3 linked regions of the Schizosaccharomyces pombe genome follow. The protein of the gene in region 1 purifies or fractionates together with the protein of each later gene. This does not show direct contact. Each region holds a gene or a part of one and is shown on either strand. Other genes may lie near its edges. The genes, in order: sds3, nts1 and png3.

Region 1 (10,400 bases):
TGGAGGCGGGCATTCGAAGGATTTTAGAAAATTGAAAAATCTTGCCTGAATTATATTGCCAATTTAATTACTGCCTTTGACGAGGTCAGGTGGCAGACGAATAGGTTCGCAAGGCTCTGATAATTAATGACTTGCTTGTCATAAGAGGCAGACATTTTCGCAGTAAAGTTATAAATCATCTATGTAACATTGAGAATTTATCAGATATATTTTTAGTTGCTCATTAGTACAACAGCTTTGGGATTCTGTATGGTCAGTTTGCAGTCTTGTTGGGCCAGCTGGAACTGTTACTAAAATATTGAGTTCACTTTACATTACGAGCAATGAAAATTATAGAAGCTTAGATTAACACAGCTACTTTCGAGATGATTCGTATTCCTTATAGTTGCATTGTAGACTTCCAATAAAGAAAGTGCATTTCCCGTTATGCAATTGATTTACTAGATAGTTCTTTAATATCAACATTATTGAAAATCACCTCTTTGTTGAGTCAACTCAATACTTAATATTTTTTTAAAGAATAAAATTCGCTACTGAATGTCGGTTGCTAATGAACAAAGCAATTGCTTCTACGAACTAATTTGTTAATTTTTTTTACTAAGCATTTCAATAGTTTGCCTTGTTAACGTATTTTTTATGTTCCTTGACATTTTTAATTTTAGTTTCTTCGTCTGCTACTAAACACGTTCACCTAAATCAATACTTGTTAAATTTAGCTGCAACACCGACATAAAAATTTATTTCATTACCTATAGTTACATTGAAACCGGTAGAAGGTTGTTTTTTGGTTCAAGAGTGACGTTTCGCTTATATTTTTTTTACTTATGTCGTTTTTAAAAAATCTCTTCAAGAAGAAATCCCCAACTCATGAATTATTCCATCCTTTATCGCGTTCTCCCTTAACGGCTCTTCGCCGTCGCTCTGAGCATATCAAACAAGTCTATCGGTGTCCAATTTCGGGAAAGTCAGTGGAATATGAGTGTCCTGAATCTGGATTTCCTACTCATTGTAATAGAACTCATTGGGAACAGGACAAGATTCACCAATCCCTTATCCCAAAACTACGCCAAATTAATGAAGACTATCATGACTTAGCACGACCAAACCCTTTGCCGGAACTACTCAAACTTCCTGGACCCATGGAAGAAGATGAAGTAGTTTCTCTTCTGTCATGGGATTCATTCTTCTATACCCGCGATTTCCCAAAGTTCCAATCGTCTAGAACTGCTAGACATATTACTAGTTTATTAACATATCCCATGTCAATCGGCGCTATCCTTCACAAGAATTCTCCTTATAATTTAAAAAATGGGTTAACTCCCCAGGGTCTACAATCATTAACTGCTCTACGATATATGCTTCATCGTCCTTTGTCTGCTCAATCTACTGATCCCAGACCCACTAGAATTTTCGTTTTGGGTGCTACCAAAGAATGTTCATTACCACCATCAATTTGGTTACAAGGATTGAACTTTTTGTTCCCAGGTCGTTTATTTCAATTGCATTTTATCGGACCTGAAGTTGTTGTTCCTTCTAAGCAACCCAATTTGCCTTCCCCACTCAGCCTTCATTTTCATCAGGATTACTACCACAATTTGCATAGAGTTGGAGCCTTTGAGCCTTTTGACCCCTACTATGATACTTTTTTTCTTCCGATGCCTCTTATAAGTCATCCACTTTATTCTTCATCGTGGATTCCGACACTTCACGATTTGGTATCGACTCGTTGCTCTGTATGGCTCACAAGTCCTTCATCTCAAAGAACAACCAAAGATTTGGAAGTTCTTAATAATGTTTTGAAAGATTCAATTGAGCCCTTGTTATTGCCAACTGTTAATAAATTTGCCAGCTTAGGCTGGTCTGTTGATGATTCAAACCTTCATGAAGTTTATCACGCAAATCAAGAAGTATTTGGATTCAGAGCCCTTTATTATAATGTCCAAAATGTTTCCAAAGAGTAATTCTTGTCCGTTAAGTCGTCTACCATCTTCCAATTTCATATTCTAATCTAAAAGCAATCTATTAATGAATTTTAAGGTCCAAATTTTGGATTGTGAATAAACAAAATATTAGTATATATGTAATGATTATCAATTACGAATTTTGAAAAGAAGACATGCCACCTTATGTCAAAACAAGCTAACCATACTTATTTTTAAACATTTTCATTACTACTTTAAAGGTGTATCAATAAAATAAATTTATTGGGTGTCAATTCTTTAAATTGGAATGTAATTAAGTAAATAGTAACTATAATTATGGGTTTATAAACGCAATATCAATTTAAATAAAAAGAAGATCAAAAGCAAATGGGTTAATTTAATTAATTCATCACATACAAATGATTATTTAGAATACACACATTCTCATACTAACAATAACTTATATCAGGGATAATCCAGCGATTAATAAAAATTATCCCGATTTATCCTGTTTAGAGGGCCTCTCCAACACGAACATATTGGCCTTGATAAGTGGAAAACTCAAAGTCGGCAGGTGCTTCGAATACCAAAACAACGGTACTTCCGAGTTGAAACCCACCAACTTGTTCGCCACGACTAACTGGCATACCGTCTAAAACAGGAGAAGCGTTCTTGTAAACTGCTTCTTGAAACGTACCTAATGACTTCTTCCGTAAGACGAGGCGATTGGTAGATAAAGTAGGATCACAATTAATGACAATGCTACCCACATTGGTTGCACCTACAGGAATCATACTCATAAATCCATGTTCGTAACGACCCAATAATGCTACGCGTTCATTCAACACAAAAAGGTTGTGTAGTCTTCGCGCCAAAAATGGAGAAACACTAAAGAGTTCACCTGAAAAGTGACGCCTAGATTCAATAACCCAATCAGCAGGAGAGTGAAATCTATGATAGTCACCTGGTGCTAAGTAAATCACAGAGTAAAACAGCTTATTGCCAGGACGGATATTGTGCCAAGGTAATGAGTCAATGTCCGTAACGTCAGCTTCTTGTACCCAATCATCCCAGTTAGTTGGTTCGTGTTCAAGAATTGAAGCAGGAGCAGATTCAAAATCACTAGATGACTCACTCCTCAAGTCATCGTCACCTCCAAGGTTATTCAGATCGAAATTGCTTGAGGGAGAGAGTCGTTTTCCGCATGAGCTACGAACGGAATTTGAAATATCTTCAAAGGCAGAAAAGGGACAGAAATAATTTAAGGAATTACGAGAGTCATTAAGATAAAAATGCGGATGGTCAGTAAAAGCACAAAGAAGTGCTTCCTCGTCAGAATGTTCATCCACAACGGCAGCTGAAGCATCAGCTTTACGATAGCGGTTATTAGAATTTAAGGAAATTGAGTGTTGTTCAGCAAATTGCTCGTGCTTTTGAATAAGATCAGGAGTTATTTCATCCTCAAAGTTGACGACTAAAGGATTCGAACTTGATATACCTCCTAAAAGAGCTTCAAGAGAGTAAGAAAGACCTTTGACATGCTGAATTCGATTATTATCGACAACTCCCTGACAAACGATACGGCCATCTACCGGTGATACGACAGGAGAAACAGGATCAACGGGTCTAGTCTCTGGACGAAGCTCACGGCAAAAGAAATCTTGAAAATTACGGTAATGAGTCAAATCAGGATCCTTCAATTCGCTTAAATTGCATCCAAAAACCCAAGCATATAGTTTAAATCCGGGTGTACGCAAAAAAGTAGGTAAATGAGCTCTGTTAAATTGTCCCCAGACACGAGAAAGGCTCCTTAATGGAAGAGAGCTTAATAAATATACCTGCCAGGAACCATTAGGACGGACACTTATAGAAAGGCGCCCCAAGCGGCGACTCCTGCGAATGCGATGGATACGATTTGAGATCCATTTTAATCTCATGGAAACGCGTACGTTCATTCCATTTAGGGCCTTAACACCTTTCAAAGCGCCGACACCACCGAAGCCTCGAAGGTTAACTTTTGACCAACGAGGATGAAAACGACGAAATCTTTGACGAGGACGCATGTTTGATCGGTATAAATTTCCTTAGTTAGGTATGCTAAATCTAAAATTGAAAACTTGTAAAAAAAATATAAAAAGTACCTAGAAGTTTAAGTACCTTCGATGTCTATTTGGAAAATCCAGAGATGTGGAACTAAGCGAATAAATGTAGAGGTTGTGCTTCCAAGGAAAAATGTGAGTTTAAGTTTTAAAGTCAAGTCTTGTTGCAAACAAATAAAGGAATAGTAGACAAACAAAACTTCGCGGAAGACTTAAGCGAGGAACGGGATAAAGATATAAAAAGGAATATTTTCTTTTGCAAAAGGTTACCAAAAAGACAGAGTATAAGGGTGTTGATATACTCGTAGATTGTTGATGGATCGATTATTGCAAATGAAGAACAGAAGTTTATAAAATTCGTACTAAGGGTTTTAGTACATAAAACTTCTACAAACAATGATGTACAAGATTAAGATATGCTGTTAAGCTGGGGGAAGCGAAAAATATCAAGAAGCAAAGCAAATATTACAAACTTAAGAAATTAGCTGAAGTGTCTATTTCAAAAATGAACCGTTGTATAAATGAGTGAAATTGAAAGAAGGAAAGGCAATGAATAAAAGGAATGAATAAGCGATGATGGTACACAAACCACAAACAATGCACACAGTTTAGTTTCAACGAGAGAGAAAGAGAGGGGTTAAACAAAATGAGAAAAATAAGGAAGCGACAAAGAAAATTGTCTAGCTGATAAGATGGAGTAAAAGCGAAAGGTTATTAAAAAGAAAACTTAGGCAAAGTCCACATTAAACATGAATTTAATAAAGTTGAATAGGATACAGTTCAAAACTGCAACTTGGAAATAGTCAATCTGAAGATTGATTTGGAAAACTAACTACTTCCCTTGTTTTCCTTCAACTATTAAATCCTTCGTGAAGCGATAAATACTGCAAAATTGAATTTTATGTCGACTTTCTTGAATTGCTGATAAATTGGCTAAGGGCACAGCAATATTGTCAGTAGACTGAGAGATCTCCTTATGGGGGGATCGCGAGGAAACATGGGGTGGCGCGGGGTATCCTTTATAACGTGATATACAAGATACCAGTATATTGAATAGCGAACTTTAATTATTCTACAGATATGGACTATAAATAGATGAATGCGGTGCGTAAAAGCAGAAATGTGGGTTAGTCGATTTTGGATATATTTATTACAAATGAATTCAAGTTAAGGATCAACTAGATCAATCACTAGTATGTAATTAAGGACATTTATCCATTCTAAAACATATAACAAGCAAGTAAAAATACAGTAAGGATAATGGTAAACAAACGATAAACTTTTGAGAAAACGATATGTAAATTGAGGACTTGTTCTCAGTAAGCATTCCCTTGCAATATGAATTAAATCATTATTTCAGGTTAGAGGACATTAGGACAAATCATGATAACGATGAGTATCAAGGATTGTTCAACCAATCATCGAAATATTCATTTTTCATAAAGTAAGTTATTTCTTCTTAGCAAGTTCCTTTTTCAACAATTGTAAATCGGATTGAATGTCTTCCTCGGTAGCACCGCTTAAGCCCTTTTCCACGGCTTTTTCACGATCTCTTTCAGCACGCTCGGAGGCTCGGGGATCTCGTTCACGACCGTTCGTAGGGTTAGCGTTTGCCATAGAGAGAAGAGGAGAGAATAAAGAGGCTTCGGCTGAAGTAGGTTTCACGGAATTTACTGAGTTGCGAACGGCATTCTTCACGGATTGTGGGATAACTGCAGTTTCATCGGTGGGAAATAATAAGTAGTCATCAAAAAAATTTAAAGAAGGTAATTGTTGTGTATTTTGTTGATTTCCCGCATTACGACGATGCCGAAGCTTACGACGATCAATGAACTGAGAAGAGGCATCATGGAGCAGTAGGGTCGAGGATTCACTCCCAATGTCAAACATATCCTTTGCTTCGTAAATTTTTCTCTTTTTCTCATTCAAATGGGAAAGCACCATTTCTTTTAAAGTTTTACAACGATATTCGTACTCCTCCTTGGCTGCTTTCATCTCCACTTCGTATTCCTCTTGTGCCCGATTCACCAAAAACGTTCTCCAACGCTCTGCAATTTCCAATTCCTCATCTCTACTCCTTCTAAGTTCATCTGCCAAATCTAAAAGAGTTTTACAAGTTCCGTTACGAATAGATTCCAATTCAGCTTCCAGTTCTGCTTTTTTGGCTCGGAACTCACTAGCTGTAAGTGGATTGTTCAATAAAGGATCCAGTTCTTCTTTTTCATTGTCAAAGACTCTCGAAAGGACGTCCATGACGCTTTAACTCTTTTACCACCTATTTGTTCGTGACAAAACAATTTTGTCCTTCTTCCAGCTACTGACGAAGGATTTTAAGGGTAAGGGTAAGATTCTCCGAATACGAAATAAAGTTATCTAAACGAGAAAAGTTGTGCTAATAATTATCAGATGAACAACGGTTTACAATAATTCTTCAAAATGGATCATACATCTACTACCATTTATATATGTTACAACAAAATAGAAGACACAGATGGTTATTAAGTTTTCATTGTCAAAAAAAAACATGGAAATGACATACAATGTTTTTTAAAAGATGCTATCGTAACCTTATCAAGGCACCAAAATTACTGCTACAAGGACTTTTTTCAACATTGCTTAAGAGCCTCTATTTCATGCAAGATAATTTTTGAAAGCAATCATGCTTCTAGTAATTTCATAACACATCATCAAATGTACCCAAATACTACAGATTGATCCTTCGGACGCGGAACGTATACCACTTGTCCTAGATTATCCCAAAGAAAAGATCATAAACCCATAAGCATGAAAGAAGTCATAAAAAACAGGTTTGTCGCTATTAATTATGCGCAACTTTTTCTTCGGTTTCTGAAATAGTAGCTGCTGCTCTGGCCTCTCTGGGACTTATCAGCCTGCCAACAGCTTGATATTTTTGGTCAAAAAATGCTTTCCAATCGTTTAGAGCCTGCCTCTCCTCATCGTTTAAATCACTGCAATCATCCAATTCTTCTGCATCTGAATCAGGAATAAATTCATCGTCAAAACTATTTTTTGCTAAACCACGACTGGCATCATGACCGGCAAAAGCACTATAAGGGCCTTGTGGACCATAAAATTTTGATCCCATTGTAACGTTGTACACAGTTCCCTTGATAGCAAGAAAAACCAATGAATTTTTGGAGCCATTATATTCCTTCAGTTCTGCTGGAGTATAATCTCTCCATTCGGGCTGTTTTGGCTCTTCGCTTGCAATAAAAGATTTCTCATTCTTCCTTCTCCAGCGAGTGATTAGCAAATAAAGAAATAAGGTTACTATAAAAACAACTTGTGTAGATGCCATGGTGTTGGTTTATGGAAGAATCAACTGGTCGCATGATTCTCTCAAAACCTTCGCACTACCTGCTTAGAAGAATACGTACGATAGTTTTGTTACCATGGTACATTACTATATACGGACGGTTATAGAGAATATGTTTATTGCAGTCTCGTTTTCTGCACACATAAACTGTTTAAAAGGCACTGTAATAAAGCATAAGTTAAAAATTTTGGTTAGTTATGTAATTATATATCAATGATTATGTTGCTCATATATACGCACAGAATGGAACATAGCATATCTTATTTACTATGACAAGAATCTTACAAAAGGTTACAATACTCTTTATGCATGTATAGTCTGCGTAATGGTGTTTTGATTTATTCAACAAAGCGAGAAATCGTAGTCGCACGACATTTTTTTAGTAAAAAAAACAAAATTTCTCAACAGCATAGTTATCCAGGCATACACGAACAATGTTTAAACAAACTGCTGTTCAGAACTTGTTTCTCGTTTCACAACTATTGGTTCAAAGAGCTGGGTTTAATAGAATATTGAGCCTTCTGGCTCGTGTTCATCATGGTAGCAGCATGAGTCGAACGCATGCCTATATCATTTGAAATAGTATGCTTCCACTCGTACAAAATGCAAACCTTTCAAGACTATGATTAAAAGTGCTTTATATATAACTAGCAATATATCAGTATCATTACGATTTAAATTTATCCTTTTTTTAAACCAACTAGTTTACTTGCTTTGTGTGCTAGATTACCAACTAGTATCTCACTACTCTCCAACATTATTTCCGTTTCAGTAGAATTATCGATTGATATCAAAGTTTTATTTAAATATGGTAAAACAAGTCTTAGTTTATATCATCAAGCTAATCACGTTCATCCTATAAAGCTACCTAGCAACTACATTAATATGTTGTAGCCTACCGACTCACTGCAATTTCACAAAGTTGAAGAATGCAGTAAAGAGTACTAAGATGACTACATGCCAAAAGAGGCAATAGTCTTCGCACAATCATTGGCACTTGCAAACGTGGAAATTTCTTTTGCAAGCAATTTGACTTGTGTGCGTTGGGTAGGCTATAAACTAAGGAAAATGCAACCTTTATTATTTCCATCCGGTACTACGAAGCAGTCACATTAACCTAACCTGAAGCGAATGAACAGAATAAGAAAATTCTGATAATCTAACAGTCGTTATGGGATTAGTTACTAGAATTAAGCATTCGATTTAGCAAACAAGATCCCAACTATTCGGAATCGGCTCTCCTGAAATCCAAGGTCATTTTGCTACCATTAATTCTCTCGGTAAACCATTATGAATCAGAAATAACGCTCATGCTGATGGACTATAGAATATAGCAGCAAGCATTGTTCTACATAATCGAGGGTTTGTTTTTGTTAAAGAAGCTTATGTATTTGACTAGTAGTAGAAAGGAACCTTTTTATCTCCGTTAATAATAATTATTAAAGTAAACAAATACCATTAATCGAGTAAATAAATATACAAAATATACTTGAACGATCGGCTATTTACAGGAGCTGTAAGATTAAATTGAATATAAAATAATATTTCTTATGGAAAAATTGTTCGGCTAGTTTAGTGTAAATATTCACCGAAGGCTTATATACAGTGTCTATATGATGATGGTTGGTAATTTTTCTTGACAATTTGTTGTGTAAGTATGACTTGACTAGCCTAAGAAAATCGTTTGATTTTATTGACCATCTTACATATCCAAGTGTAATGAAATTTGCAGCTGTTGTCAAGCGGTAGATGTGAATGTATCGTAAGACCGGTAATTTTTAAAAAAAAAAAAAAAAAAAAAAAGAAGAAAAACAGGTCAGTCATTATTTCCTCCAATGTACAGTCATACCAAGAAATCATACAAGTGTTGCCCTTCTTCTTTGATGAATTATTTTGCCGAATAAAATCAATAAACACCGATGGTACAAGTAAACAAAGATTCGGCGAGGAAGTGAAGCCGATGAAGAGTGTAATTAAAGGACGGTAGTAGGTGATTGAGGGTTTTTTTATTATTGAAGAATTTTGGTAGTATAGCTTTATTTATTAAGATAAAAAAATTATTAATTCAAATTTAAAAACTTTTTGAAGCTGATAACGTTGTTTACTGTTTTTAGTCTACAAAATTAATCAATGTTTAATAGTATATGTAAACATCATCCACAGTCGTGAATCAAATCTCCAGTATTCTTTCATGAAATCAAAAAAAATATCTTACAAATAATTAAAAGAATATGCTGCTACACATTCAATGCTTTCTTGAATCCTTTAATAACACCGATCTATTACGTTTTTAGCCTACTCCAACCCAACCCCCGAAGTCACCAGATCATTTACTGTTGTTATATTCCTTTTCGTTATTTAGTTTAGCGCAGCAAACCGGATGTTGTATAAGCAATTTACGATGATTACCATTCTACTACCACATAAAAAGCAATGCCCTCGCTGTTTCTCTAATTGCCCGGTCCATCAACAAGCGATTAGCCCATTCTAGAAACGAAACAATCTTAACACTGAGGCTGGAGAAAAGTTTTAGAAAGTGTTGAATTTTCGATTTTTTACATTGTAATCCTATTCCTTTTCTCTTTCTCTTTTTCCCGCTTCACTTATTACACTTTAAAAGCCTACGCTAACAAGAAAGAGAAAAAGGGCGATAATCTCGTGTATTTGGGTTAAGTGCGTAGGTCTTTTCCTTTTAATAACTTTCTCTTTACGAAAGAAGTCTTAACTGGTATTCATAAACCTTTAATATTTCTCTGTGCCTGGCGTATGTTGGTTGCAGTTTCCGTTAATACTTGCGTAAAATATTTCTTCTAATTGTATCCGGTAAATCCCTTTCCTGTGTGTAGAACACCTAAAATCTTTCTGTTTCTCATTCCGTTATTTTTTTTAAAGCTCTCTTCTCTCTTTTCCTTATTGTCATTAACTGTTGAATTATTCGGTTTATTGTAAGCTTTCTCATTATGGCATTGTTTCGGCGTCCAAATTGGTCCGCTTTATTTGAAAAAATCTTTATTCAAAAGGTATGTCTATTTTTTCCAGCTT
Region 2 (11,436 bases), on another chromosome or scaffold:
CGGAGTGACCAGTCAAAGTGTAGGTAATACCAGCATCAATCAAAGATTGAGCACTGTTCTCACCAGTGTAGGCACCGTTCTTCTTGTCGAAGACGTTTTGGGCACCAACGCCAATATCCTTCTTGACTTGTTGGCGGGTGGTGATGAGGTACATGTTTTGAGGGAAGATGACAGTTTCGACATCACCAACGTTAAGCTTGGTGGTGTTCAAACCCTCAATAATAGTCTTCATGGACTCCAAAGAGCCATTCATCTTAAAGTTACCACCGACAAAGAATTTACGTGCCATTTTGATCCTAGTTCTACTATTGAAATGTAGTTGGGGAGAGACGAGAGTTGGCCCGTCCGCTCATTATATATAACGTAGCGGACAGTCACACAGTTAAGGGGAATTACCGAGCTTCGGCAATTTACCCCGTCGATAGCAACCGTTGGCATGGATCCACAGTGCGGTAGGAAGGGTCAGACATAAACACAAAGAAATCTGCTCATGTAAATAAACAATAAATAAGAGAATGAATTGAACTTTTTTGTGATTTTTAATAGATTCTTCACTCAAATTCGATGAACAGGAGAAAAATTGAACGCAAAACGAATGGATTTAGCTTAAAAGAGTGTTACAAGTGTCCTAGTCTTATTCCAGATTATCTAAGGAACTACAAAAACTCATTTTTGCCTTTTCTTTCTTCAAATTATCTCTTCTTGAAGTGTTGAAGGCATTTAAAATGCACCACAATTCGAGTCAACAATGTTTGGAAATTTGCATTAATGGCTAAAAATCGCGGCTGATCGTTATTTCGGGTTATTGAACGATTAATCGTGTTTATTGCATTTTGCGAGCATGTTTAAGCATAGTGCACGATTTATCACTCTCATTACTGTCCATCTTGGGTATTTGTTTTGTTTACATCTAGGAAGACTCCAGGTAGCAGCGGGGCCAAATTTGTTACCTTGATGTAACGATGAGCAATCCCCCGAAAAGATCTGCCGGAAAAACCTTAAGATGCGCTTTCGGGTGCGAAGAAGTTTCTAGAGATCGCAGCAAATGGCATCAAATTTGCTAAAGATCTGTAATCTTCTATAAAGCATTCTAGTGAAATGTGCTAACAAAAATAATGCGCTCAACTCTATTACAGTAAATCACTCAAGTGCTTTCTCCATCACATGCTCCTATGTTCAACCGCTGAGATCGCAGCGGATACTAGTACGTGGTCAAGCGGCTCTTCACAAAATTTTAAACTCTATTAATGAATTGTAATAGAATTTGTATTCCACAGGTCTCCCATGACAAGTCCCAACTTTGTGGTAAATTATTTTACAAGCATAGTTGTAAATACTAATCTATCACGTTTCCCTATTACTCACATAATGAATGAACAGCTCGCAGAGAAGCATTCAGCGTGGCTTACAGCGTCCTTAAAATGATTAGGAGGCTTTGTCGAGAGCATTAAACACAGATATCAAAATTTAAACCTGGCTGCGCTATTTCGTATGTTTTTAATTCAAATAAGCCTGAAAGGTGCATTCTCAAGCTTTTTTTTAAGTATTTCGTAAAGTAATTAAGTGAAATCTTACCAGAGTATTCAATTCATAATTTATAGATAATTGATTCAAGTTGGCACTGCTTTGTGTCTTGTTGCGTAAACCATTGACAGGCGAACTTCCATTAAAATGGAAGTTTTGTGCCATCAAGGTTATAAAACATTCCATTATCCTCTGTTTTTAAATTATCCACAATTTTAAGCATAGATGAAGCACTTTGCTCTGGTGAGATGGCATTGCTCTTGATGGATTCTACCATCTCAGGATATTTGCTGGCTAATTTTTGCATAGCATTAACAAACATGTCAGTGTTAACTACTCCAGGGTGAATAGAAACTACAACGAATCCATCTTTCTCTAACTCAAAACTAATTTCTTTCATCGTATAATTTAAGGCTGCTTTAGATTGCCCGTAAGCCGAGTATGTGTTTGGACGAACTCCTCCCATGCACGCAGCCATTGATGAAGTAAAAACAATATTCTTTAGCTTTCCCTCCTTTAACAAGTGATAAAAAGCTTGGTAAACATGAATAGGACCTAACACATTGGTTTGATAATGAGACATCCAAAGCTCGTCTGATGTTTTCAAAACAGGTTGGAAGGATTTCGATATCCCCGAATTCACCCAAAGAACATCAATACATTTTACTACCTTTTCAACCTGCATGGCAGCGTCTTTGGCACTTCGTAGAGAAGTGACATCTAACTTGATGATATGTACATTGGAATGGGTCTTGCTCCAATCTTTCAGTTCAGAGGCAGATCCAGGTCCACGAGCACTTGCAAAAACAGTTACTCCTTCCTTATTGCTTAACTCTTTGACTAGAGAAAGTCCAATGCCACGGTTTCCACCCACAATAACGTAAACTATCCCACCAGCAGCCGACATGTTTTAGCATAAAATGACTCAAAAAGATTCAAGGTGATGATTTTTTTCAACAATAATTCTTTATATCAAGGTCAGTCGTCTTGCCTAGCCTACTTGGTTGGAGGTGTAAAACAGTTGCGCTCACGCATAATGTATCAAGTCAGAAAGATCTGCAAATGCATCGTCGCACAGTTCTTAAACTATAGTCACTAAACAATAATACGTTATTATTTAATCAATCAATATGCTTTATGAATGACATTATGCTCTTTTGCCCAAATTAAGCCCTAAAGTCGTAGCTGGTATCTCTAGTCTGAGTTTGGGACAGCAGTTTTAAAGTAAAAGGCTGCTGAATTCTATCAGGTATCATTCCTCCATTTGCTACTAGATAAAGCTACTATAACTAAAGAATTGGCAATACATTTCGATAATAAACATACAAACAATGTAGCGGATTCACATTTTTATTGCTACAAATTTACCAACTGGTGCTAACTTGCGTTGTCTAACTATATATCGATAGTGAAGGTTTTTTTTCTATTTCATATAAGCAACTTAATGACAGGCTACGTTATATTTCAATTTGCAACTGACTTTATAAAGGAACCTGACAGAATGTACAGCTACTGTAACGTTTTGAAAGGTGCTTCGTAAAGTAAATATAGCGTTTTGCTTTATATATCGCTCCTTTCTTTCTACACTGTTAATCTACTTTAGTAGGTAGGAAAGGATATCAAGGGTGTAAGAAAATTTCATGGTTTTTCTGTTGTATGTTCATTTATTTTATATTTATGGAGTGTTTTGTACGCACTAGCTCTTTTAGTGTTTTATTTTTACTGCGAGAAATGTAATTTTCATTCTTCCTCTTTTATTTATATATGTGTTTTTTTTTGGTAGATTTTGTAAACATCATATAGCTTGTTAATGATCAGACTTTATTTTTTTAATATTTTCTTTTGTTAAGCAATTTCGTTTAAAAATAAACATATCCGACTTTGATGCTTCAAAAATTTAATGTAATAAAATAATATTCCTGTTTTTGAATCTGGGTTAAAATCATATCGGATACCTTATAAAATTCACTGATCATTTAAAAAAAAAAAAAAAAAAAAAAAAAACCCCCCGAAAACATACAATTTTGTTAATTTTCAAATGCATTCTTTTGAGGTCAAGCCATATTTACTTTTATCCCAAATATTAAATTTAAGTGTCATATGCAAAGTTGCAAATTCGCCGACCGTAGGGCTATCAAAACTGATGATGTTTAAAAATTGACTAATGGAACAAATTTATCTTGAGATGAAATGATGTTGTTCAAAATTAATATAATTTTTTTTTGCTGTTTCCTCTTGCTTTATACGCATTTTCCTGCACCTCTCTTTCAGAATACACATTATTCTTATTTGGTATTAAGATTCACCAATTGATAAAATAACACCTAATTGTATGCCACGGCTATCTTGCTATTATTGTAATTTCGCTTTATATTCGATTTTGACGAATGAACCCTGTCAAGTTGGAAAATGCAAAAGCAGTATTCTACCGTTACCTCTCAGTAGTAAAATGACCTTCCATCGATGAAATTCTCTAACATTCTCTTCGTATTTAAAAATGTATGGATCGTATATTCCTTGCTTATCCACGATTCATGAACAATTAAGATTTGCTGAATGGGTAACACATATTCTGCGTTACCTCGTATAGTTCATTGTTAATCAATGTTTAAACACTAAATTTCCCATCTCCCACTGTTAATTGAAAATAGGTTTTATTCAATAAATTACCATTTAAAAAGACATGTTATTTTAAGTTATATATTTTATGAACCTAAAGATTGAAGTAAAGGCCTTCGGAGCCTTTAGTTCCCCTACTATGTGCCTCTACTCGCTTCTTGGGGCTTAACTGTAATGTAGTATTGCCAATTACACAAAAAATTTATATTGTTCTTTAGCTTCTTATAATTCATTTAAATGAGAGGTAAAAAATTCGAGAAGACATTTCAGAAAACTACAGAAGTATCCATTTGTTTGAAATTAACTGTCCTAATGCAGATGAATCCTATGTAATAGAAATATTACAACCGTGGCTATAAAAGAAGTTGAGAGTTAGTTATACGTAAGAATATCTTTTAAAGATTTCAATCGACATCTCACATGATTCATCAGTATTAAACGTAAAAGTTTACATATTAGTTGTAGCACTATTCGTGATAAATGAAATAGTAAACCAAAAAACGAACGAGGAATAATCTTTTCATCACTAGAATATTAAAATTATTTTATATAATCAAAGTTAGAAAGATTCCTTTAGTTCCTTGAAATATTCTTTAATTATTATTGCAGCACTAAGGATTGCATCACTGATATGTCTCAGTAATGATTATCAGAACGTCTGGTAATAAAGCACGATCCTCTCTCTTTTTTTGTTCTGACTCTCGTCAGGATGAATTCCTTCTCAAAGTGCCGGGAGGAATTGCTTTGTATTTTTTGTACCGTACTTACATTTTATCGTATACTTTCACCTTAGCGCTTTTGGTGTCAAAACAATAGAGATGTAAATTTTAATAGAAATTAAAGCTTATTGGAATTTTTGTTTTCAAGTGTTTTAACATGTAGTGATTGTGTAAAGTATATGTTTACGTTCTAGTAATCGACTACCGTTGAAACTTGCAAACTACCAAACAGTATTGCAGACAGTGAATCAGTCGACGGAGCACTTGAATCAATTTGTTAATAATATAGAGATTAAATTCACAATTTATTGACACATGATTAACTGAATTCATTAAAATATTTGTTTTTTTGGTATATATTTCCTTTCAATACCCTCGCTATTTGTTTCTTAATAACTGAAGACAACATTGATCTACTTAATATATATGACTCAAAACTCACAGAGTAATGGTGAAATCGTGTCAAAAAAAACCGGATATTGATGAGTTCTTTTCATTTTTGCAGAGTGCATTCCATCCTCTACAGACCGAGGAACTTGATACATTCGTTCGCAACATTTTTGAATATGACGATCGAGGTCGTTTGTACAACTGCCTTTTAACTCTAGGTAAGAATGAATATTAGATATAATCAAGTTTATTTTTATCGCTTTTTCTAAAATTGTGAATTTTCAATTGATCGTCGTATGCTTGATAGCAATTTTGATGATCTTTTATCAAACATTTTGCACGCCTATAACTCTAAGGTTATATCAATTCAATTTTCTCAAAGAAACATATAAAATTTTACTCTATTCATGACTTGGCATGAGTGGTTGGATGAGACTGTGGCGTTGGTCGTTAATTATATTTTTTGTTGTTTCTGTTCGAAATTGAATGGTTGATTTCAACATTTAGCCCTTGGGTTTTTATTTCCCTAGGAAAAATGTTTGGGAGATTTAACCGTACAGTTTTCTGTAAAGCAAATGATTGTATAAAAAAATTATGATGACTGAAAATTCAAATCTACTACAATGTCACTTGAAAAATCGATTTCTTTTTTGATGTTTTATTTCTTTTTTATTAAAATTTCTAACCGTTAATGCAGTTCCTTATGAAAGACTTCCAATAGATGCAGAGGATCTTAGTAGTCGAAAAACCTATGCGCGTCCCGTACTAATCCGACAATACCGCAGTTTGCGGTTTGCCAACAAAGAAGAAAACATTTGTCGGCTAACTCCCAACTCAGCGTTCGTCCCTGTTCGAGACTCTGCAGTCGCTAGCATTTCAACCTCAAAAGTGCAGGACTTTAACTCCTATGCTACTCTCACTGAAGCACAGAAAAAAACGGCCACTCCCGTTGAGGAAAAAAACTTCTTAAATCAAATTGTCATACAATGTTTAGACTCTTTGGAAACCGACGTTGAAACAAATACCACGCATGCTACTTTACTAGCCGTTGACCCTACTTGGTTAATCCGTGTATCACAGCATACCTGTGATCGGAAAGCTGTGGCTAATCTCTGTATTCAGTATGGAAGTCAAATATTTTATGATCCATCATTTCGAAATGCTTATGAATTATGGTCCAATCCTTCAGTTCTTTTGGCTTTTTTGAAGGCCCAAAGAGTGTTGGTCGTTTCAGATATATTTACTTCGTCAACATTGAGATCAACACAAGGGACGCCAATGTCTTTTCCTAATTTAGCTTTGGAAAGCGCTGATAATGTCGAGAACGTATCAAAGCCTATTAACCCTCGAATGGAAAGGTTTTCATCAGAGGTTAAATCTTCGAGTATTCTGAAACAACAGATTGCAGCCGTTGTTGAGAAAATCAATTATGACATACGCCCTCAACGTGATCAAATCCCTGAAGAAAATATCGTACCTAGAATCTCTTACTTAACAAGTACCACTACTTCGACCAAATCATCACCGGTTCCCGAAAGCACTACAACAAACACAACTGAAGTGCTGAAAGAACTTAATGACATTCAAGAGAACAAAAGCAGAAAAAATGTTGAAAAAGCGACTGCGGCAACAGAAGAAATGCTACGTGGCCATCACAAACCGGTAGAAGGAACAACGGCTACTTCGGAAAAAGAAAGCATTAAAGAAGAAGTTGATTTAGAAGTTAACGGTGACGGGAAAGTTGAAGCGGAAGAGAGAATAGAATTGGAATCTTCCGATTCAGAGAAAGAGCTTTCAGAGCTGATTGATTTTCTTAAAAGAGAACACCCACCGGAAGATACTCCAGAAAAACGAGTAAAGATTAAAAGAATTAGAACATTACTCGACACATGGCAGCAGGAGTGGAGAATTTTAAATAAAGCCATTTCAAATGCAGAGTCAAATTCTGGGCGAGGACAGAACTCCAAAACGAAAACTACTTCTGTAAACTTATCGCGAAACAAACGAACGAGGACTTAAGAATGTTTAAAAGCATTTTTTTTGTGGAACATAATTATTAATCTTAGAATTACGAGCTTTTTATTTGGAACACTACTGAGTCTAATTATTTAAAGAAAATTATCAAACAACAATATTTGTATATAACGTTTACTCATTTCCCAACAAAATTAATTTATAAATAATAATCAAAAATGAACCGAATTCCCTGTATACTTAACCATAATAGTAATAAAATTCCAAAACCAATGCTACAATTCGATAAATGCAGTATGATCAAGTGTAGCCATTTACCTCCTTTTGAAAAGGAACAAAACAGTTACACAAAAAGAAATACCAAACGACTCAATGCTTTCCCTCCTTTAACTCCTTGGCACCAGCTTCACCTAATGCCTTAGTAATTGTCAACTTGCCCACTTGTTGAGACGCAATTCCGGCAATTAGTTTCTCATTGCGAACATTTAATGTTTTTGTAATGTTCTTTAAAGATATTAGCAAAAAGAACATATATAAAAGTAAATTTTAAAACATACCGCATTAATTGTATGGTCTTTGATAGCAGCTGCTCTTCTAGGGGCACAATAACGAGCTAAAAGTCAAGGTTAGTAATGAGTATTAATGATGAATGATAAACCATATAATATGATATCTTGTATGCTTAAGAGTAAAATGATTGAAACGTGTATCAAAAAATTTAATGAAAAATTTTACTATAATGAGTATCTAAAGTTACGAAAAGATGAAGAGTTTATAGCACCACAAAGGTTGTCCAACAACTTCAATGAGCTTAAAATATTAAAAGAAACATCCCTAAACCAAATTCCCTAGCATACAAAGATCACCGAATATTTGACAGTTGCAGCTGACATACCGCCTTTTTTAGGATTCTTGGAGTGTTTTGTAACACGTCCGCCCTTGTTGGCACTACTATTTTTCTTCTTTTTAAATTCTCCTTGTGCCATTGAGTTACGATAAATGGTAATGGTTATAGTTTGGTGTAGTAAATGAATTTTCATAGATACTTTGAAGGTAACATTAGAAGGAGGTAACAAACATCGCCATGAATACAGCAATAAGTAATACATACAAGTGGCATTACAGACTAAATAATTCGTTTTATAAGCAAATGTATAATGAGGGAATTGTTATACTGTTAATGTTACCGTCTATAAAAAAAGTGTACCTTTAGAAAGATCGGAATGCCATAAAATGTGAAAGTTAAAGTGCAGTGTTTCCCACAGTGCAGAATGATTTAAGAAATTAAGACTTTAAAATTCATTAAAAAACACGTACGTTTGCTAAATGATTGCTTCAAACATAACGAATCTTTTTTTTTAAAGAACAGGCGAGATCATAAAAGAAAACATTAACCTGCACAAGTAAAAGACAGATTAAAGATTCAGATTGAAAGGGAAAACGCCAGCAACCGACAGGAAATAAAATTTTTTAAAAAAAATTTAGTCGTCGGTGATGGCCAGCTTCAAATAGAGACCAATTATAATACTTTTTGCTGCTCAAGCAGAATCTTGAAATTACGACCGTCGTCCAGTCGCACGGAAAACTTATTGCGAACAATAAGTAACGTTATGCGGATAAACTATACAACACGCTTTACTTCGAAAAGTCGCTTTAAGTAGAAAATTTGGAATACACATACGGAAACTAGAATAACGGTTTGAAGAATACTCCACCACTTGACGCGGTCATTTGTGCTTTCAGCAGTATTGCGATGTATTCTTTCACGAGCCACAAAATACTCCTGCTCATGTTTTACCTTGGAGATGGTATCATGGAGTTGGCGGACCTTGCCGAGTAAAGGATTGTTAGCATCCAAATCTTCATCAGAGATATATATAACACCATGCACATTGAATAAAACCTCCTTTGATTCACCATCGAGTGCATCCTATTGATGTTGTTAGTTAAGATTGTACATCTAGCTGTTTCCGGCTCAACCATCAAACAATTAGACGACATGGGAAATGACGACCATAATGCCAGGCTTTGATGCCAGAAAACAAAAAGATAACACATACATTATAGAAACAATACATGTATTTCCCTGGGTTCTTAACGGTGAAAGAATATTGGGCCATAGAGTTGGGAACCTCTTGATGCATAATTTGACCCGCAGGATTGTAGATACTCATAGAAACAAGCTGATCACCACCAACGTTTGTTTGATAAGTGACAGACATTTGATCATTATTCCTCAAATTTTCATAGAAACATTCTAAGTTTGCTTCATTAGCATTGTATACTCCATGAATCTCAACACAAATACACTGAAATTACATACCTCGTTGATGCGGTTTCAATGTAATGCCATGACCGAAAACAACAGATATAAAATAAGCACATAACACGGCTTTAAATACGTTAAAAAACGCCATTTTGCAAAGTAAAGCTCTTTGCTCTTTGAAGCAGCAAGAATGAGGTCTATGGTAGAGGAAACGTACAAAGCACTAGTTGGAGGGCAACCGTGCATAAACAAAGCACAACTGTGAAATTAGGCGACGCTACGTTAAATTTGCTTAAGAAAAAATACGATGTCTTTATAAAAAAAACGTAATACGGTATCTTTCCTTATTTCTGTGGAAATTATTAAATCATTCTTGTCTTCAGAGTATAACTAGTAATTCTCCAAAACTTCGTTTATTTTGTATTTAACTTATTATTGAACATCAATTCATTTTATTTTTTTTTCTCTCCTATTAATTAGGTTTTGCATGAACTTGCCATTTGTTCGAAAACCTTTACTGTTGTATTCATAATATTTTTGCCAACATTTTAAAGCCACACTTTGCTTGTCCTCTCTTTCTTTGAATTTTTAAAAAAAAATAATTGTTTTACCATGTTTCAAGTCATCCAAAAAGAACTTGATTTTGGGAATGCAATGATACCAAAAGTATGGATACAAGTCATAAAGCTGAATCCATCCTCTTCTATCTTTGTATGGGGAAGCAATGTTTCAACATGTCCTGCAGGTGATTTAGCCCTTTCCATGCCAGGTAAATCGGATGTCGTTACTACCAAACTTACTGGTGCTGGCTCAATTGACGATCTTTCTACTCAAATGTCTCGGATCCTCTCCAAAAAATTTCAAGCTCAAGTCTACACTAGCATAAACCTTCAAGGGGACTTTCCGAATGATCCTGAGGTCCAATCTGTTTTTACACAGGTTATCCGTGCTGTCATTGAAATTATCGAAAGCTCAAAATCCTCATAGGTAAACTCGCTGTGGGTTTGCGACGCAACCGAAACTAAGCACCAGTAATTGAACTAATAAAAACTAAAAGCGCGGTCTCTTTTTTCTTCCTAACATACTTTTTATTTTTTTTTCGGTTGTTTATGGTGAACAGCGGTTTCATATACATAATGGTCTAATATTTGTTGTTAATATAGTGTTAACATTGTACATATTACATCTCAAAACATTTCGGTTGATGCATGTTTTCTCATAGGGTAGTTATACCGTTGATGAACCTTTTCTATTTTCCATACAGGTACTTTTAATCTTTTTGGTGCTACAAAAAAAGGATATAGTTGGTGAATATTTTCATTAATGTATTAATTTAGCAATATTTATATTTTTTCTAAGATAAAATACGTTCTCGGCCTGATCGTTCGACCCATTTTTCAATATTTTGCTCCCTAAAACCTATATAGGTAGATGCTTGATCTCCTAAAATTTCACGTCTACTTAATAGAGTCCAAATATTAGACCAAAAAGTAACGTAAGTTTGTAACTCCTCTTGATTTTTTGGCCCAATTCCAATACCACGCTCCGCCCAAAGCATCCATTCATTCCATAATTCGGCTTTGGATTTTAAATTTGATCTTTCTTGAGCTGGTAAGTATCCATCGAAACACGTATACCAGTGAATATACAGCTCATGTCCAACATCGTTTATATTTTGAGGAGGAAATTGGGGAGACGCAAGAAGCTTTGTCATTGCCAAGTCGTAATCTCCCCATAATTTCAAAAGGTGACGGGAAAGTAGAAATGCAGTCTCTTCTACCATTATTTTTGTAATTTGGTCTAGCAGCTTACAGGCTCGGGGATGTGATGCATGAAGTATCTCCTCCTTTGTTAATGCCGTGTAAGTGTATGGAATGTAATCGGCTGCTGATCTAGTTGTGTCTTTCTTCTTGTCGTACGGAGGGAAGTGGGCATAACGGGATG
Region 3 (10,088 bases), 630 kb from region 1:
GAAGGGACACCAACGCTCGTTTTTTCAATATTATTATGTAAAAGGAAAACTAAACGATTTTTGATTAGACAGTCTCTCCCATCTCATTCCTCGACCACTTTTTAGCTCACATGCTTTTACCTACAGAAAAGCAGATAAGACATCTGCAACTCATCAGCACTCCTACATTCGAAAATTATCCACCCATTCAATAAGGTCGTTTTTTGTACTTCCGCTGTAATGATAATACAATACTATTGAAAAGTAATGTAAAACAAATTAATTCAAATCAACTTTTTTTAAACCCTGGGAATATACACCCAATACGCACAAATATATGTATATTGCTAATTAATAATTCCCTTTCTTCAATTATAAGCAAATTAGCTATGCAGCATGGACCTTTTAAACTCCAAAGTTATTTTGTAAACAAAGAGCGTTTTTATCATTTAAACACTCATGCGAGTTTTGGCGCGAGTGCTACCAGACTTGGAAGAATCTTCATGAGCGCTAAATTCTATAGTTTCCGATCGGGGTAAGTTGAGAACTTGCTTAAAACGAGTACCAATTTCCATAAGCACTTCACGATTGTTGCAACTCTTGGTCCAAACTGCTAGACGGTAAAATCCTTTACGCATGTTAATAACTACACCCATTACTTCTTGGCCTGTAGGATCGAGAGTTTCACCGATGGCCGCGAGAACCTAGCGATATATTAGCTGCGAACCAAAAATTAAAAAGTAAAGAAAAGAGTGAAAAAACTGTTTTTAGTATTCACTTAAAATAAAAATATTACAAAAAACCTTTTTCTCATAGCATTAAAAACAATCAAACCTACCGTAGTTAACCACATCTCATCTAAAGCGTTTCCTCCACGGCCTTTATTCTGAAAAGCCCATTTACCTCCAGTCTTATTATGGACGTCTTCCCATTCTGGACGAACTCCTTCACGGAAAAAAGAATAATCAGACTTAATAGGCAAGCTAGATGCAGGATTGATATTGTTATGGATTCTGAATCGAATGTTAGTAATGTTAAAGCAATTTATAATATCACAATAATGAATAAGCAATTTACTTACCCCCAAAACTCTTCTACGCTATTAAAAGTAATTATGTTCTTTTGCAGTTCATTCCATTCCAAGCCAGGAGTAGGTGGCATTAAAAACCACAAAGTCCATGGTCTAGCAAGAGGATGCTTCAAATTAAAATTTATTTTGTCATCAAAAACCGTCCGCAGAGCTTTTTCTTGCGGTTCTGACACGGTATTTTCGGTCTGTGACTCTTTTGGTGGTTGTTCAGTCTGCATGGTTCTGGCTAGAAAGAATGGACCCCGAGAAATTTTATAGCGATGCGATTGAGTATGTGAAAGCTTACAGAATTTGGCTAATTTAATAGCTATTGGAATGGAGTTCAACCAACTGTAGATGGAATGCTTGGAGGGCTGGGAACTGGTCGTGTATGTAAAAGAAAATTTACCAAGAGAATTATATTTTTAGAAAACGGGTGTAAACGTTCAAAAGACTCAATCTCAACTTACTGTTACATCTCTATCTTTTTTTAAGACTATTTATTTAAATAATTTGTATTATTAACATTCTACAGATTCCTCAAACTGATGTAGTGGGATCACGAACTTTTCTCAATCGTCTCAATTATCGTATAGGAAAAATCGAAAACTTAGTGGCCGCTGATTGTGGTGCAGGTATAGGAAGGGTCACTGAAAATGTGCTTTTGAAGATAGCCTCTCATGTCGATCTTGTGGAACCTGTTGAAAATTTCATATCCACGGCAAAAAAACAGCTTGCAACCAAGCCTTGCTCTTTCATAAATGTCGGATTACAAAATTGGACTCCAGAAAAAAACCGTTATGGTATGTATATCAGTTAGATGCTTTTATTTTGTCCAAGATGAGGCTTAATCTCTAGGATCCACTTCTTTGCTTGTCATCTTAACAAATTTTAACAAATTTAGGGCTGATTTGGAACCAATGGTGTTTGTCCCATCTCACAGATGAGGATTTGATTGCCTATCTTAGCCGCTGTTGTGAAGCAATTCAAGAGAAGGGAGTCATTTGCGTAAAGGTTCGTATCCCATATGTGAGTAGGAAAAAACTGACTTCTTAGGAAAATGTTTCATCTTTTGAGGACACCTTTGATCCTATTGATAGTAGCGTAACACGTTGTGAACAGTCTCTGAAGTCCCTGTTTAAAAAGGCAAACCTAGTAGTTGTAGCAGAAACTCTGCAACATGGCTTTCCTGAAGAATTGTTTCCTGTGAAAATGTATGCACTTGTTCCTCATTCCTCGTAAATTTAAACTTGTTCGAAATTGATGGTTGACAATTGAAATAAGCGCGAGATTCTTACTATTGTTGAAAAAGGGACTACCAAAACCAGCTGAAACAGCTTTGACTTTTACAAAAGTAATAAGAACAAAAAGAATAAATATTTTTATTTTATATGCAAACATAAATTGAAAAAATGAAACGTTATTCTCGTAAATGTGTAGTAAAAATATATCAGTCTGTACCTAGTGAACCAGAACTGCTGGGAACGACTGGTTTTTTTTTCTTCTTCTTCTTACTTTTAACAGAATTAGACCTGACCGTAGAGTTATTAGGAAGAACGATGGTTCCATTCTGTAATTCTTCGGATTGGCCCATTTTTTGAATCTCCTGCGACGCAGAAATAGTAAACATAAGGTCTCTAAGTTGCTCATTAAGATCATTAATTTGAAATTGCATTGAAACGATCTGATCGCTCTTTGTTGTATTTTGCTTTTCCAATGTCTGAATGCGAACCAGCAAATTTTCATTCATACTTTTTTCTTCTTCATAATTATGCTTCAAATGCTCTAATTGAGACGAGACACGCTTAAGCTTGTCGTCTCTTTTCTTTAATTTGGATTCAGAAATATCCACGCGAGAACGAAGATCTGTATTTGCATTTGAAGAGGCCGTAGCTATTTTGGTCTTTAAGACGAGTTCTTCATTAACACGGCTCAACTTTTGAGACATATTAGAAAGATGAGATTCGTAATAAAGGCGCTGCGACTCTAGTTGTGATACCAAAATCTGCGTATACTCTAGTCCCATCTTGTCCCGCAGTTTTGATTCCGTAGCGCTGGAACCAGTCCAGCCTGAAGACTTTCCGTCTGTCGACAATTCTACCAATTTACCATCTGTTTCAGACTGCAATAGGCGATGAACATAATTATCTCCAGCGTAATCCCAAACACGTTGTGTTTCAAGTTCCATAGCATAACAATGAGCGGTGTCTACATAATGTTGCTTAGCATGTGCATCGTGGTATCTGCCACATCCAATGTTACCACAAATCAAGCAAATCCATAAATCTTTATCATAACAGCATACAGTGCATTTGCTCTGAAATTCAGAACTCTGTACTTTTTGAGTATAACGACATACAGGACATGATGAATTTCCCCATTTTTGCAAGCATGGACAGTGAAAAGTATGCTGGCACACAATGGTAATTAAACCAGTAATTGAAGAATCCATACGTTCTAAACATACAACGCATGTAGGAAGCTCGATAAGGGCAGGAGTCGTAGAAGCAAAAGGTTTGGAGGAAGGGCCTACTAGTTGCTGCTCAGTTGAAGAAGAATCAGAGCTCTCCATTGGATATTTTATATTTACTTTGTCAATATGTAAAACGTGGCAAGTTTCAGGATCTATTTGGCTAAAAGCTTTGCCATTGAACTCTGTATAGAACCTAATAACACTTGCTTGATCCTTGAATTTCAACAGCGCCATGATCCGATTTGGATCTTTCGTCTTAAGAAGACGTATATGCTGGATTGACTTGCAATGTTTCTCTCCCAAAAAACCCAATACATCGGAGGGCGACATATATAAGGGAATTGCCAATATCGCAAGGATTAGACCTGGCGCATCAAATTCATGGCTTTCTGAAGGAAATACCCTGTATAAATGAACGACGCCATGTCCAAGAGATGTCTCCTCAACCTCAGGAACTTTAGAAGATGGAAAATCCATTGATAATAACTTTATTTCACCCAATCGAAAATTAAAATGATCGCCTCCAAAAGAATTACCAACAACTTTAGATGCTCTCCTTTTATTACAGGTAAAAATATCTTTTACAGGAGACTCACATTCAATTTCTAAGTAGTAATACATGCATTAAACATCAATACTTGGTAATGGCTCTAAACGACTTGGCATGGTGTTAGTAGAAATAGAATACCTGAGGTCTGTAATGTTAGTAACACCAAATCCTTTATTATTTTTGAGAAGTTTTTAAATTTAAGTGAAAAATAAATAATTTTTAGATGAACTACGTAAGAACTTTCATTTTAATTACTGGTAATAGATACGGATCAATACGATTAAAATGAATCCTAATAAATAATGATAAAATGAGCAATTTTATTAATGGATTTATTCAGCTAGAAAAATAGCATTAATTTAAAATAGAATATTCACTCACTCTTGAAGCCTGCATGGTGAAATTATACATGAATTTGAACATGCAAAAATTGAATTGAAAACTTTTCATTTTAGGAATTCGTTTTCTTTTACAATTGGTCAAGTGTCTTACAAAATCGATTCTTTAAGAGCTATGTTTCTATGCAATTACTTGTCGGTCTCGCGTTGTATACTTCTAGGATAAGATTTTAATATGATTCCAAGAACCGCATATTTTATAATATAATAACAATTTATGTTGTATTCTGTTTCTGCCCTTTTCTTCCCGTCGGTTTAAAAAAAACAATTAACAAGCATGTATTTAGTATATTCTGGGGGTACCATTCAGGAAGTTCTCAGATTCTCAGCCCATTTAGAAGGAGATAGTTTTGAATAAACTGGGACCATCACTAAAAAAATAATTTTGTATTCTTAAAAGAACCAGAGGTGCCAAGCAAGCGTATGAAAACATGAATGTGCTTAATTAAGCTGACGGATTGGCCATTGACTAAAATGCAAGCAACCTTTTGAAATGAACATACTTTAAAATGACTTGAATTTTTTACTTTATTATAAAAACTGATCACTGACCCATGAGGATCCCGTATTTCTTCGGGACGATATTTTCCTAGTTTAACGCATTTCATGAACGACCACTACCAACTAGGTACAATAGTTCATACTCAAGTAAAAGAAGCTAGGTGTGTTTTGGAGAACAGCTATATAAAATAAAGTTTTGAAAAAGCTTTGAAGCAAGCCTTATAAGTGGAAAACCGAGATTCTTTGGTTCGATTGCACTTATATTACAGACGTAAACAAAAGGAAGCAAAAAGCAATGCTAACCTTGGGCAAGTAATAAAAGTCAAACTAGAAAGAATCCTCATGAATAGCTGTATATAATCGACAAGTCGTCAGCCATGGCAAAACCAAAAAAGGAAAATGACTTGGATCTTCTTATACAACTTGCTGACGGTAATAAATGAACATGTGTAAATAAATAATTTTCTTACATTATTTAGCATTGGAAGCTATACCGGGTGATTTATCCAAAAATTTTACGGAAGTCCGTTTTTTAGAGGCTGAACTAAAGGGTAAGTGATAGTGGCATTATAGATTGGGATTTTTTGCTTGAACAACTGTGAAGGTTTTGATAATAAACAAAAAAATGAAAGATTACTAGTGAAACCGTTCTGGTGTTGATTTTCTTTGTTAATGTTTAATCAATCTGCTTAGGACTTGTTTGAACCTTGAATATGTTATTCAAAAGGACTTGAACGCTACTGAGGCTTATAATAAGTTTATGTTGTTCTTATCAAAACTTGCCTATCTAGAGCTTGCCTTTTTCTGATTTAAAATGATTAACATGTTCAGATGTGTATTCACAAGCTCTTTCTTCAATTGATGACCTTCTTAACAGAGATACTAGTGTTGAACGTCGTAATTTAGTCGCTCGAAACTTATCATTACTGTTAAAATCCGATGATGTACAAACTCGAAAAAAATCCCACATTGCAATGTATGCAGAGGCAATTACTCATAGTAATGTTTTACGTTTAGAACACTGTTATCAAAAGATGGAAATGAAATTACCAAATTTTTTTATTCCTTTCACTCCAGAGGTTATAAAAGAGCAAAAAACTTCGAGACCTATTAGAGCATCCCGGCGGAGAGCCAATTTAAGGAATCGCCGTGCTAAAGAATTGCTAGCAGCTGAAAACGCATCGGAGGAAGGAGATAAAAAGCAAATAATCACGGATTCTGGTAAACTACCAGAGACAGAGGAATTAACCGAGACCACAAATGAAGACCTCGACATCAAACAATTCTCTCCCTATTCTTCAGAGAGCAGTGCAAACGTTTCTTCTTACAATAAATCTTGAAACTTACGTAAAGCCTTATATTATTAAAATTCTTGCTTTTTTGTTTTTCTAATTGAAATACACTAATAATAGTTTATCCGGGATTAGCTACTAAATTCTAGTCATTCAACAGAAGTCACTTTGAAAACATATATAAACTCATGTCTTTCCATACTGATTCGAATGGAGGTAACTTCTTTCATACTTAATGCTACGTTTAAAGAGTTTGCATGTTTTGGAAACAATTACTTGATAATACTACCAGGAATTATGTTAGAAAGGAACGTATTTAGACATTTGAATTACTCTACAAATTCTATTTGTAGCCACTATCAGTTTTTTGGCGGACATTACGAATCTTTTGAACTTTTAGTAGTGATAGTTTATTACTTTTCACATGTTGGTTCTTTCTCTTTGGCTGAGATATATCGTATTACCTGGGATAAACGCATTGTACTTTATGGAACAACAACCACTCTTGTCTACTGCTCTGAAGGGTCGGATTGATTGCGTATATGATTAATTCATATTGTATTTTTTTAAAAATAAAACAGGGCTATAGTTTTAGATAACTGTCTCTTATAGGTTACCTATGTTCATAGCTCAACTTAATGAGGATATATTTACCCAAAATCTAAGTGTATATGATTTGGGACATCAAGAAACCATTCAAAACTTTTATTTTTCTAATGATTTTCGTAGTTTCCAATGTTCATCCTGTGTCTAACAAATCTTGATAATTTCGTAAAAGACTAGCGGTGTATTCCACAACTACCAAAATATCTGATGGGAGACAGGGTAGAAGCATTAGCCATATTCAGAAAAAAACAAGGTAAAATAACAATTAAATCAATGATTCTAACATGCAGGCGTATTATCTATCGATAGTAGATTAAAATGGACGGGGGAAGGGAAAACAACACCATCAGTAGATATTGCTTTTGATGCAATTTCGAGTAATAATAATTGTTGCATTTTCGAGATTACTGACAGATTGATAGATCTTCAAACTACTCCAGCGTCTAATCCAAAAGTTATGATTCGTGTTTTTATAGTAGTAAAGGAAGGTGAAGATCCCACTTCTTTAGTATTTCATTTCACCGGTACTCCTAATGCCAGAGAAAATTGTGATATGATTACTAATGAGTTGAGAAATGCGATACAAAGACAAAGGGAAGGCTCTCAATCTAAACCACAAGGAGCCAATGTCGATCGTGTAAATTCTACGAATCTAGAAAAGGACATCGACTTACAAGAGTCTTTGCTTACTAACAATCCCGATCTCTTACAAACATTTAAGGAAGCAGTTATGAAGGGACATTTAAGTAATGAGCAATTTTGGAGCACAAGGCTTCATTTGCTCCGCGCTCATGCTGTAGAAAGGTCTCAGCAGCGTGGTCCTTATAATGTCTTGTCTACTATTAAACCTAAAACAGTGGACAACCAAATGAAAGTTTCCCTTACCGGCCAGCAAATTCACGATATGTTTGAACAACATCCATTGCTCCGAAAGGTATATGACAAGCATGTGCCTCCTCTAGCAGAAGGAGAGTTTTGGAGTAGATTTTTCCTTTCCAAGCTTTGTAAAAAGCTTCGTGGCGACAGAATTACACCAATGGATCCCTCTGATGATATAATGGATAAGTATTTAAAAGATAATGAAGGTAATTTCTCCAACCTAGATGAATTCCATTTCTAACATTTTCAAGAGGTAACCAAAGTATCGGATGAACCTATTGCATCGCACCTCTTTGATTTAGAAGGAAATGATCAAAATGCAAATGTAATAGCAGAACTTAGACCTGATATCACTATGCGAATTGACAAAGAAGCTCTACCGTTTATGAAAAACATCAATCAGCTTTCGGAAAGACTTTTGGAAAAAAGTTTGGGGTATGTATATTCGGTTTTATTAATTGTTATTGCTTCGGTATGCCTAACAACTTGTAGAAACTCTAAACGATTTAACAACGAAAATGAAGAAACATACTTAAAAGAATCTGGTTTTCACGATTTAGAAGAAGAAGCCAGTGACTCTAAAGTTGTCTTAAAAATCAAAGGTCAAGATCAGTTATTGGAAAATAATTTTGTCCCCTCAAAAAATCAAGTTGGTTTAGAGCCTTTGCCTTCATTGGAAGCTCTTCAACATTTATACCAGGAAGATTCGATAAGCTTAAATCACATTGAACATGATTCTGACTCTTTGGCTGAAGCCGCTATGCAGCTTACTCAGAGTATGCGCGAAAAGCATGAGTTTGAGACCCACGGCACTGCATCAAATTTACCTATTGACATAAAAAATGAAATTGTTTTGTGCCATACCGTTACGATAGAATTTTTGCATCAATTTTGGAATGCCTTGTTGAATACAACTTTCCCGGACAAGAAGGCGATGGCCCCCCTTCAGAATGCTCTGTTAAATTCGAAAAAAAGGGTGGAGGCAATTGCGAGCCAGGCTCAGGAACAAAACGTTGATCCAAAACTGGTTTATGAGGTAAGTTTTTTTTGTAGAGATTTTGATTATTAACTAGGATTAGTTGGTATCCTGTACGCTCACTTCTATTGATACGTCAATCTCGGAGTATCAAAGACGAATGTCTTATCCTCCTGCTTAGGTTTGATAATGTCTTTGGAAACTCAATTGTGCTTGTAAAAGGTAATTGTTTCTGTTTTTCCATATAGAGGTTAATGATATATTGATATATTCTTTATTGGACTTAATGTTCTTTCTTCATAAAGGCTGGAAAAAATGAACATTGAAATGCTGGATATGGCTCTTTTTCTGTTTATACAACTCTTGAATTAAAAAACTTTTGTTTTGGTTTATAGATTCAAAAGACAATCAAAACTGTTTTTAGATTACTGTGCTCATAGGCCAAAATCTAATGTTTTTATGTCTTTATAGATTTTATTATTTATTAAAATTCGTTTTATGACACGAATATAGTATGTTATAAACTGATGTTCAATTAATTAATGTCCCATAATTTCTCTCTTTTGTTTTAAATGCTTGTTTTTACAATTTTTCAATTTATCGCTTCTCTGTATATTATATATAACTTTTTTTTTTACTTTCTTTCAAGGTATCAGTTCTGTATGATCCCAATAAAACTGTGTCTAGCTCAAGTATTAAATTTGGATACACAATTAATGATGAATATTTTAACATCGATTACCTAATTTATCTTATTTCAAGTTAATAAATAAATAGCCAAACGACTTTGAAATGTAGCACGCTAGCGCCTAGTTCCCTTCCCTTTTCTTTCATTTATCCATAGTGTATATGTACTAAGCTTAAACATCTACGCACACCTTAGCTTTCCTACATGCTTTGATTAATAAGAGTAATTGTTTTAAAAATTTCATTCAAGAAGAAAGAACAAACAATAAAGGGCCATGCTACGACTCATAAAGCAACCTTTGTTTCGATGTGCGAGTTCGGGACATTTGATGAAAGAGTCGCTTGTTTTTATCCATCAGACTCGTACTTTTCAAGTTGGAAAATTTACCTCAAATGAAAAATATAATGAAAAAATTGAAGATATCAATGAACGTTCAAATCCACAATGGGATAATGCGGGACTCGAAAATTTACTGAATCAACTTCAAGATTCTGTCGAACAGTCTGCCTCCGACGATTTTATGGGTGAATTAGAGAAAAAAATTGAAGTTGAAAATGAAGAACCGCCGCTAATGGGTACAAATCTGTGGCCTTCTCCGTCAAGTTCAATTGTAGGGTTAATAGATCGACCATTTCAGGTCGACTCTACAGTACAGCATTTGGTGAATTTAATAATGC

Evidence for each region.
Region 2: the proteins of sds3 (region 1) and nts1 purify together in Schizosaccharomyces pombe (affinity purification with western blotting; one study listed by BioGRID). This does not show direct contact.
Region 3: the proteins of sds3 (region 1) and png3 purify together in Schizosaccharomyces pombe (affinity purification with western blotting; one study listed by BioGRID). This does not show direct contact.

Annotation. Positions count from the first base shown.
Region 1 is NC_003424.3:4,152,413-4,162,812, reverse strand, and holds sds3 (Clr6 and Rpd3L histone deacetylase complex subunit Sds3), read right to left. Parts: upstream 6,309-10,400; 5' UTR 6,275-6,308; coding exon 5,471-6,274; 3' UTR 5,087-5,470; downstream 1-5,086. Other genes in the region: deg1 (tRNA-pseudouridine synthase), read right to left, coding at 1-13; splicing suppressor Mss51, read left to right, coding at 825-1,961; phosphatidylserine decarboxylase Psd2, read right to left, coding at 2,435-3,985; cytochrome P450 regulator Dap1, read right to left, coding at 6,840-7,340; inositol phoshorylceramide synthase regulatory subunit Kei1, read left to right, coding at 10,319-10,378. UniProt on the Schizosaccharomyces pombe protein: Component of the clr6 histone deacetylase complex I responsible for the deacetylation of lysine residues on the N-terminal part of the core histones (H2A, H2B, H3 and H4).
Region 2 is NC_003421.2:928,798-940,233, reverse strand, and holds nts1 (protein Nts1), read left to right. Parts: upstream 1-5,078; 5' UTR 5,079-5,310; coding exon 5,311-5,470; exon of another isoform or gene 5,471-5,539; intron 5,540-5,949; coding exon 5,950-7,271; 3' UTR 7,272-7,497; downstream 7,498-11,436. Other genes in the region: tpi1 (triosephosphate isomerase), read right to left, coding at 1-289; SPOM_SPCC24B10.20 (dehydrogenase), read right to left, coding at 1,667-2,431; SPOM_SPCC24B10.18 (uncharacterized protein), read right to left, coding at 7,596-7,730, 7,784-7,839, 8,122-8,212; COPII-coated vesicle-associated protein Emp24, read right to left, coding at 8,848-9,156, 9,287-9,483, 9,550-9,643; proteasome assembly chaperone Pac4, read left to right, coding at 10,105-10,479; swt1 (RNA endoribonuclease), read right to left, coding at 10,847-11,436.
Region 3 is NC_003424.3:3,519,358-3,529,445, reverse strand, and holds png3 (protein Png3), read left to right. Parts: upstream 1-5,081; 5' UTR 5,082-5,241; exon of another isoform or gene 5,242-5,283; 5' UTR 5,284-5,347; coding exon 5,348-5,402; exon of another isoform or gene 5,403-5,449; coding exon 5,450-5,521; intron 5,522-5,801; coding exon 5,802-6,310; downstream 6,311-10,088. Other genes in the region: translation initiation factor eIF4E tif45, read right to left, coding at 429-683, 818-992, 1,061-1,287; AdoMet-dependent proline dimethyltransferase tae1, read left to right, coding at 1,305-1,339, 1,377-1,437, 1,584-1,851, 1,953-2,062, 2,105-2,290; SPOM_SPAC16E8.13 (ubiquitin-protein ligase E3), read right to left, coding at 2,499-4,142; SPOM_SPAC16E8.18 (uncharacterized protein), read left to right, coding at 6,473-6,796; transcription factor TFIIH complex subunit Tfb1, read left to right, coding at 7,076-7,121, 7,159-7,245, 7,291-7,953, 7,999-8,182, 8,240-8,783, 8,827-8,904; rsm7 (mitochondrial 37S ribosomal protein uS7m), read left to right, coding at 9,686-10,088.